Canis lupus familiaris: one gene and its partner. The protein of the gene in region 1 purifies or fractionates together with the protein of each later gene. This does not show direct contact. Links are inferred from orthologs where the notes say so. Each region holds a gene or a part of one and is shown on either strand. Other genes may lie near its edges.

Region 1 (4,885 bases):
GCATTATCTCTTTTAACGAATGCGAAGTCACCAACTGAATTTCTCAAATTTTCCCAGCTAAACCAAAACCTCAGAACCAAGATATATTGATTTTTGTTTTGACTTCTGAGGACCATGTACACACCTATTTCCTTGATATTTGCTAATATGATGTCAAGAAAGCTTGTATAATTGTAATGGTGTGGAGAGAGATCATCCTATCAAGTAACAACCCCCATTCTGGTTTTTCTCCCATGCAAATGATTTTTCTGTGGAATCTTAGATTTAAAAAAAAAAAAAGGAATCTTAGATCATCTTTATTCACTACAATTTTAGTGCTTAGAATCACCTTTCTGAATGACAGCCAAAACAGACGGTCTTTCCGTATGTTACAAATTTTTCCTTTAGTCTCCACCTGTACATCCTAAGATTTTCTGCATTATTATTCTATCACATTTTTATTTCCTGTAAGAAAAAATCCACCAACCAATAATCTCAACTCACTACTTCAATGAGGAAATCAAGACTTCCGTTATAATACTGGTATAGTTGTTCAATAGGGTATGGCTCTATTCAGTTTTCCTGGGATGGGCACTAAAACATTTCATTTTTTCATTTTGAAAATTCACATGTAAGTCCTGACATTTCTGATAATACATCCTCACCTTGATTGGCAGGATACTGCTTATGACCATACGAATCCGATGCATTCTGAGGACATTTCTCTTTAAAATTTTCTTTCGAAGTAGGCATGTGCAACACAGGACCATACTCATTACGCAGCTTGATTGCCATTTTCCGTTTGTGACTATTTAAAAATTATGAACATAAGAATGTATCTTTGAGTGCTTTAAATATATTAGCCAAAAGAAATATAGACAGCCAAGAACACAAGTACTTAAATAGCTTAGGTTTGCCTAATCATGTAGAAAAAATTCTATGAAGTTTTTAAAGTTAAATAGTATTTTAAAAAGCTTGGAATTTCCAAGTGCATTTCCACACTTTTTTTGTTCCCAATCCACCACAGAGCATCCATTAAGTCTAAGTAGCATTTTAATTTGTTAACCAATAAATATATAACCTTTCATGATAAATTACCAAGGGTCTGATTTAAAAACATATAGAAACTAATATATCCTTTTAAAAACCTCAGTCAATACACTTTCCTTCAAATGTGTCAATATAAAAACACAGTAAAAGCTTCTATCATAACCTTTACTGGATGTATCTAAAAAGACCAATTAGAACTAATCAAAGTAGTTAATTAGTTCAATATTTTTTAAAGAAATGCACTTATATTAGTCTTAAGAACAGCTCACTTAATAAATTAAATATAAATGCTTGTCTTAGGAATTAAGTAGATTTTAAAAGAAGGGTAAAGGACAAAGAAGGAACACTGCACATAATGCAATCCCAGACTGGAGCTGGAGATGTAGAACCAAAAATATGCCACCACTCAAAAATCTTCATCATACTAACGAGAAAAGATGGGAGTAGAGGTACTGGCCAGGTACAATTTCAGCTCAGCAAGGCTCTGAGAGCAGCGGGAAGCTGAAAGCACATACAAAGTGATTGATTATAAAATAAAACACCTAAAAGGGACTCTCCTAATTACTGGGTATTTATAAATGCAATTAATTAATGGGACTTTTTATTGTGAAAGACAAGGCCAAAAAAAGTTAAATCAGCTTAAATCATGCCCAAACACCATTCATTACCGAATAGACATCCTACGAGTGTTAGTATCACTCACTAAGCTTTAAAGGTCCCCCTCTCCCTGCTCTCTTCCCCCAACATTAGAAGTTACATATTCCAGTAACTGAAAAGGAACAATACCTACCTCTCTTCATCCAAAGGCACAGGTTTTCCGTTATCAGCTACAAACATGTCATGGGTTCTCTTCAATGACCTGAACACAAGTGTGTGCACAGAATGTTTCTGTACCTCCTAAAAAGAAAGAACAGAATCACATATCTAGCTACAAATGACACATACCACAACCTAAATTAAGTCAAAGCAGCCATACACTTTACACATTTAAATATGTAAAAAGCTTTGTACCACTCACCACAGCTATTTGTAGCAAGCGATAGAAGAAGTCAAGGTCAGAGAGGAGGAGGAAGCTCCTCAATGGCCAGAGCCCCAGGTATACCAATTAGTGATGCCTGAGCTTAGCCATTGATTCGAACAAGTATTTACTGAGTTCCTACTATGTGTCTGGCAGGCACTGTGCTAGAAGCTAACAAAAGAATGATGACAAGGCAGCCATGGTCCCAGTGCTCAAGAGAAAACGAAAAATAAGCAACAAATCTTTGATAAGTGCTATGAAGGAAGCAAGCCAAGAAAGAACCTAGGATAGTTATGAAAGATCTCTCTGAGGTATTCCTTAGGCAGAAATTCAGCCTCGTGCAGAGCAGAGGTGAGAACAATCCAGGCAGAGAGGAAATGCCAGGTACACAGGGGTTTGGTGGCTGCAATGATGGCCGGAGCTGCAAGAGAACTGTGCATGTTCCACTGGAAGGTGGACTGTGAGGCTGGGATGAGGTTGCAAGGGTAGACAAGGTGCAGATTAGGTTAAGGATTCTTTTTTTTTAAAGGATCACTGCAACAGTCTGCACTTTTGCTCTAGTGACATCTGGCCAGCGAAGGATTTTAAGCAGAAAAAAACGCGATCAACGTATATCTTAAACAGATCAATTTTGCAGAGGGCGAAGAAATGGAAGCGAGAACACCAGCAGGGAGCTAAGGCACTCGTGCAGACGAAGGATGACGCCGGATCTGAATTAAGGCGAAGGCAGTGGGTCTGGACAAGGCTCCAGAAGTATTTCTGAGATGAGACGGGCAAGGCTGGCTAACAGTTTGATGCAAAACTTCAAAATGGCAGGTCTTCCTGGGGGCAGAGCTGGAGGAAGACCGCCCGCCTCAGGACACACAGCCCCTGACGCTGCTCTGCAGGCGGGGACCCCGCGGGGCCGGACGCGGCGCCTCCGGGGGCCCGGCCGAGACCCGACGCTCAAGAGCCAAATACGGACCGTGGAAACTCAGTCGGGCTTCGCGGCCGCGGGTAACGTCCAGCCAGGGCTCCCACCCGGCCTTCCTCTGCCCCTGAAAACCTTCAGAGACCACCCGGCCTCGGCCAGACAGCCCCCCTCCGCAGCCTTCACCATCCCCAAACCGCGAACACCCCCCCACGCCCGCCGCCAAGGAAAAACACCGCGGAAGCCAACGACCCCTCAGCACCAAGCGCCACCTTACCTCGACCATGATGCTGCCGTGCGACTCGCCGCTCCAACAGACAAGGGACACCAGCCCGCAACACAGAAGCCGCCGCCGCCGCCGCCGCCGCGCAGCCCTTCCGGAATCGAGCGCCCTGGCGCCGGAAGTGGGGCCTCCGCGCAGGCGCGGTAGCCGCCCGGCGGCCTTCTGGGATCGAGGGGCGGGGCTTTCTCCAGAGGGGCGTGGCCTCGGCGAGGTGGGCGGGGCTCAGCGGCGTCCCGGAGGAGGTCTTGGAAGAGCCTTCGGCTCGGACTTAAGTAGTTCGGTTCAGGGGTGTGGTTGTTTGCGCTGTGCCTCCCCAAGCTTAATCCTTTAATTTTATTTTTTTTCCCAGCGAACCCAAGGAGTCCGTTCTAGGGAGGGTCTGGAGAGAGCGAATCCCGGTCCGCGTCCAGCTCCCCTGATTGACGTCTCGGCTCCCGCTGCGCCGCGGGGCTGCCCGGCCTGGAAGCCTCCGCGCGCTGCGGCCTCGGCTGCCGAGAGCACCTGCGCTGATGCTGTCCCGTTAACCCTTGGCGGCCGGATGTTGCGGAACACTTTGCATTTGAGAAAGTGTGCAAAGATCTTTGTTGTAGCCCTGTACGGCAAATCCCCACATTTATTTTTACGCTGCATAGATTTTTTTTTTTTTAAATCTCTCAAAACCGCACGATTTTCAGCCAGTCTGCTAATGAACGTGGTGGCGTCGACAGTATCAAAGGGCAGCTTTTCAAAGCTGGCGGAAGAAAGACACAACTGAAGACTCGAGCCACTTTTATTTATACACATCCTAGTGCCAAAATAGCAGTATTTTATATTGTCTTGTCTTAGGTAAAATGCAGTTTTCGATCAAGCCTGTCCCATTACTTTTCTATGCAAACAGGAGTTGAACATTTGTAAATCCGATAGGCAAATATTTCACTGGCCCTGCTTGTTCCTTAAGCTAATCAATTCCACTGATCTCAGCATACCGCATGGGCTTGGAGAGGGAAGAAGTCTTATTGAGGGACACCTGGGGGGCTCAGTGGGGGAGCATCTGCTTCGGCCCAGGACCCAGGATGTGACCCTGGGGTCCCTGATCATCGGGCTCCCTGCAGGGATGGAGCCTGCTTCTCCCTCTGCCTGTTTCTCTGCCTCTCTCTCTGTGTCTCTCATGAATAAATAAATAAAATCCTATCAAAAGTATATCAATGTGAATTGCTAATCTCATTGGATGTACATTGATTCTTAATTAATCAAAAACATTAAGGTCATGTTTCTACTTGAAAATACAATCGTGTTTGAATTTGAGTGAGTTTGGCCTACTGAGTTTCTGCAGCAGTAGCCACTGGTGGTGGGCCTCATAAAGAAATTCTATAATGGTGCAATATGTACTTGGGAACCTACATCATATTTTAACTTCCTCATAGATAGTGATAACTATACAAAAGAATACTATTTTTAAAGGTGATGAAATTATAGAAATGTAAACAAGATTCTAATATATCTATGGCAATATAATAACTGTCTAGTTGGGGCCTGTTAACATGTTAATCATCCAGGAAAGAATTGTATAAACCCAGACTCATCAAACATTGTAATAGTTGAGATAAATTACACTAGACTATGTTTCTTTTAAAAAGTTCTCTTGAATCTGTAGAATTATATTATC
Region 2 (5,107 bases), on another chromosome or scaffold:
TGGACAACTCTAAAACAAAAATCAAAGAATATACATTTTTAAAGTTACTACAGTGAGGTTCAAACTCAAGCCTAGCTTAAGAATTGCTGCTCTTACTGCCACTCTTCAACACTGCAACTAAAGACTTTCCCAAAATGCAGAAATAACTTGTCACCTGGGAGAAGTAGGTACTTTATTCTGTAGTCACTGGAAAGCCAAGTCAAGCCTAACTTAGAGTTCAAAGCTTTCTTTAATTTGATGCAAACCTTTCTTCCTCTCAGCGCAGAAGGTTCCCAATACATTAACAAGTCCTACTTCCCACCTACCTCAGCCAAACAATGTATCCAAACCTACCCAATCATTCAAAAGTGAGTTTAAGCGGCCCCTTTCTGTGAAACTTTTAATATTTCCAATATAATCTCTCAATAAATGTTAATACTCAGTACTCATTAGGCATTAGGTACTGGGGATACCAAGAAATAGTTCCTGTACACATCAGTCTCAACGTGGATAAGAAAACCTTGGGCAGCCCGGGTGGCTCAGCAGTTTGGCGCCGCCTTCCACCCAGTGCGTGATCCTGGAGACCCGGGATGGAGTCCCACGTCAGGCTCCCTGCATGGAGCCTGCTTCTCCCTCTGCCTGTGTCTCTGCCTCTCTCTCTCTCTCTCATGAATAAATATTTTTTAAAAAACCTTAACACAATAGAATATTCTAGTATAATAAAGAGCTACAGTAGCACCTAGGTAAGTAAATAAATAAATAAATAAATAAATAAACCCACCAAGAAATCTGCTCCAGGCTATCAGAGATGACTTATTAAGGGAAAAGAGAAGAGATGCACCATGAACCATTCCAGATCTTTAGGAAAGTATCTCTATGTAAATATTATGCATATTTCCACTAAACATTGATCATCCTTTACCAAAAACTCACAGTGACAGACTGTCTTATACACAGTGCTGTTGTTAACTGAATACTGCTATACTTTCTTTATAGCATCAGTTAATTCATACTGTAGCAAGATTCCAAATAAAAAAGCAAACTTGGCCAATCAACTTCAATCTTCTATAGACCAAAGCTTTTAATTGAGTCTCAAAAAAGCAGGAAACCTGATCCAAACCTTGATTTCCCTGTCCAAAAGTATCTTTATGATTAAAAATATCAACAAACAAGTGATCAAAGCCACAAACTGCCCCCAATGAACAGCCTACTCCTGAATAAACAAGAGCAACATCTTCAGTTTCTAATTATTTTGCAAAAGGTTACATCCGGATTAGTCTAAAGACAGAAGAGTAAGTGCCTAAACAACCTTCAGGGCTAAAACAGTGTTTAAATCCTAAATACCGGGCAGCCCGGGTGGCTCGGCGGCTTGGTGCCTGCCTTTGGCCCTGGGCGTGATCCTGGGGTTCCGGGATCGAGTCCCGCATCAGGCTCCCTGTGGGGGAGCCTGCCTCTCCCTCTGCCTGTGTCTCTGCCTCTCTTTCTCTGTGTCTCTCATGAATAAATAAATAAAATAAAATATATATCTCATATAAAATAAAAAATATCTCATGAATAAATAAAAAAATATAAAAAATAATAATAAAATAAATAAATAAATCCTAAATACCTACCCCCACAACGAGAAGAGTATTAAAGTCACTGCCCATTAATTAGCATGTCGCAGAGAGCTGGACTTCAGTTCTGGCGGGGAACACAATTATTCCAGGGCATTCACATCCTGGTCCCAACCAACCTTTCCAGATTCGCCTACACTTTCCCTCCCTGCAGCGCCACAGTCCACTACTCAAACACACTTTTCAGGACTCCTTGCCTCGTTACAAGATGTCCTCTCAGGCTCAAATGTCCTCCCCTAATTTAAAACGGATTGATCCGTTTAGGCCAGGGACACGTCACCTCCTCTATGGAAGAGTCCTACCTAGGCAGGAATTAATCACTCCGTTACCCAGAATCCCAGAACATGCGGCCTGTATTTCTATTTAAGCGTTAATTTGCCTCATGAAAGAATGAAAACGTATACACACACACACACCTGTCTCCCCAGGAGCCTGTAAAACTTTGCACGGCCTTACTCTTTGTTACTTCGGACTCACACGGAGCCAGCACCTGGAAACGACCCGTGAAAATACAAATGACTCCTGGAAGCCTCCCGTTCGACGAACGCTTCAGATTCCAGGTCAGAAAAAAAAAAAAAAAATCCTAAGGAACGCGCCTCCCAATGCCCATGCCTCATCTTCTCTGAAGTGACCCTATTTCCTGTCATTTCTGGAAACTGGATACTCCCTCAAGAACTCCGGCTTATTCTCAGCATTTTCCTAAATTCCGTGTTCTCCGAATTCCACAAAACGATCAGGTACCTCGAAAGCTTTGACCGCTGGGAATAATAACGTGCCTTTCCCTCTTCCACCAATCATCAGTCTCCAAGGGGGGGGGGTGGGGAACAAACACCAATATACAAGTGATCACGGGAAGAAAAAACTACCAGATTTTATGTCCAAATCACTTCATACAAAAAAAAAAAAAAAAGTATTTTAGATGCCTGATTAGCCGAGACGAAGAGGAACGGGCCTCAAGCAGGCTACGCTCGAGTTGGCGCTGCCGAAAAGCGGCTGCCGTGTTCCCGGGCTCCCCCGACTCCCCCGGGCACGAACTGCGCCCGCCACAGTTCCGTGAGGCGAGGGCGACTCCCGGCTTTCACGCCCGTTTCCCCGATTCGCGGCCCTGGCCTCCCCCCCGGCGAGCCGTCTGAACGAGGCCTTCCGCTCGGAAAAGAGAAGCAACTCTGAAGGAACAGGACCCAAACGCGGAACAAAGCGCCTGCCCGCGGTGGAGGAGTAGGACGCCATTACGTGGGGCAGTGGCCTGCGCCGCTAGCGCCGAGGAGCCGACCAGGGCCCCCACGCGCGGGCGCGGCACCCCACCAACGAAACCACAGGCCGAGGCAAAAACCGAGTAAAATCGAGTCTTGGCAGGCTGGCAGCAGAGAAGACGCGGGAGCACGGGAAGACGCCTTACCTTCGTGGGTCTTGGCGATCTTCGCCATTTTGTCCACTCGAACACACAGACGGAACTGGCGCTCCCCAGCACTTCCGCTCGCCGCCGCTGCCACGGAGAAAAATAGCTGGGGAATGCTCTCTGCGCGTGCGCCAAGCGGGGGCGCGCGCCGCCGCGCGACACGTGACGGAGCAGCCGCCTAGAGGGAACAGAGCGATGCATTGTGGGGGAGGGGGAGGAGCCAGGGCCCGGCGCGGAGGCGGTTTTCGCGGTGGCGGGAGGAGGAGGGCTAAGCGAGTCCTGACGCGGGGGCGGGGGCGGGGGCGACGGCGACTGCTCTGGAGGGAAGTGGGTTGTGCGAGGACCCGCTGATAGTCACTGCGAGAGACGCTGGATTTCAGGCCCGTCCGAAGCCTCAGGCCGTCAGTTCTCGTCCTCCACGTCGAGCGGAGGTGTGTCGGTGCCAGGCGAGAGCTCCTGTGGCGTCTCTCAGCGGCTGCAGTGGGTAGTTGTGGAGACACACACCAGTCACGTCCTTCGCGCTGAAATTCAAGGTCATTTTTCTTTCTTCTTAAAGAATTACTTGCCATTTGGGTAGGAGTTTCGTGCACAACATTATTATTTCCAGACACTGTTGTACCTCACAAACAACCCAGGAAAGTGGGCGAGTTGTTGCTAATCCCATTTAAGAAAGGAGAGGAAAACTAGGGCGGGGGTGTAAATAAAATATGCAAGGTCACACCCTTACTGAATTACCCGGGAGGAACTGTGCCGTCCTTTTTTAAAGCCTTTTAATTTCATAGGTTCTTAGAAAACCACTGGCTGTCAGCATTAACACTGATGGAATGCCTTTCTTTTTTTTTTAATTTTTATTTATTTATTTATGATAGACACACAGTGAGAAAGAGAGAGAGGCAGAGACACAGGCAGAGGGAGAAGCAGGCTCCATGCAGGGAGCCCGACGTGGGATTCGATCCCGGGTCTCCAGGATCGCGCCCTGGGCCAAAGGCAGGCGCCAAACCGCTGCGCCACCGAGGGATCCCTGGAATGCCTCTCTTAATCCTAAATGTCACTCTTGAATCAGGAATTTTTAAAAGCTCCAAATATGGCTTTTCTTTTTTTTTTTTTGCCTACTCCTCAATTACAAAAGCATAATTTTGAACTGCCACACTGGCCTTGGACTTTAGGATTAAAAAAGAACATAACTTTGAGGGGAAGTTGGTACAGGAAGCAGCCTAAGGAAACAGGTAAGGATTAAGGTTAGAGCTATCACCAAAAACGTTTGCCTGGCTGTGTAACAGGATCACAACATGAGTATTTAGTAGAAACTTTAGTAACAAAAATGGGACTTAGTATCAATGAAAAAAATCAATTTGATGAGAGAAAATTTTCAATTTTCAATTGTTTTAATTTAGGTTAAACAATAGTTGAGGGAGGAAAGGGTTAAGAGAACATGTAGATTGTTTTTTTAAAAAAAGATTTTATTCATGAGAGATAGACACAGGCAGAGGGAGAAGTAGGCCCCCTGCAGGGAGTCTGACATGGGACTGGATCCCAGGGACCACAGGGGTCACGACCTGAGCTGAAGGCAGACACTCAACCCCTGAGCCATGCAGGCGTCCCAAGAACATGTAATTTTATGAATTATTGGTAAACTCTAGTTGTTGAATTGGCAGAGTGCCCACAGATATTCCTTACATAGTTTATAACCTACACATAGATTGCACATATTCTTTTATATATATAAAATAGCATGTTTTAAAATAATGAAAAAAGGATGAATGGGAAATAAAGAATTACAGAAGGGTGTTATGATCCATCAATAATCAACAATCTAAAAAAATCCATGTTGACAAAAAGAATCACAAGGACATGGCATTTCTTGGCTCTTATTTAAAAATAGGAAGAAAAAAAAGAAAAAAGAAGAAAGGTAAATTTGTATATACAAGACAATCACTGTCCTGTCAAAATATATGCAAAGGAAATTCACCAAAGTGTTAATAGTGGATGCCTATGACTGGTGAAATTATGAACTTTAAAAATAATTTTTAGTATTTTCCAGATACTTTGCTATAAGCACATTTTTATAATACACAAAAGGAATATATTAAAAGATGGAATGCCTGGCCAGCTC

Evidence for each region. Proteins that work in one complex are often made in the same cells at the same time.
Region 2: the proteins of PLRG1 (region 1) and SF3B1 purify together in Homo sapiens (co-immunoprecipitation; 3 studies listed by BioGRID and IntAct, with this or other methods). This does not show direct contact. The link is inferred for Canis lupus familiaris from reciprocal best matches to the Homo sapiens genes PLRG1 and SF3B1.

What each region holds. Positions count from the first base shown.
Region 1 is NC_049236.1:52,570,864-52,575,748, forward strand, and holds the start of PLRG1 (pleiotropic regulator 1), read right to left. Parts: upstream 3,390-4,885; 5' UTR 3,244-3,389; coding exon 3,235-3,243; intron 1,927-3,234; coding exon 1,820-1,926; intron 1,531-1,819; exon of another isoform or gene 1,459-1,530; intron 788-1,458; coding exon 645-787; intron 1-644. UniProt on the Homo sapiens protein: Involved in pre-mRNA splicing as component of the spliceosome. Component of the PRP19-CDC5L complex that forms an integral part of the spliceosome and is required for activating pre-mRNA splicing.
Region 2 is NC_049258.1:6,838,790-6,843,896, forward strand, and holds the start of SF3B1 (splicing factor 3B subunit 1), read right to left. Parts: upstream 3,154-5,107; 5' UTR 3,023-3,153; coding exon 2,995-3,022; intron 1-2,994. UniProt on the Homo sapiens protein: Component of the 17S U2 SnRNP complex of the spliceosome, a large ribonucleoprotein complex that removes introns from transcribed pre-mRNAs.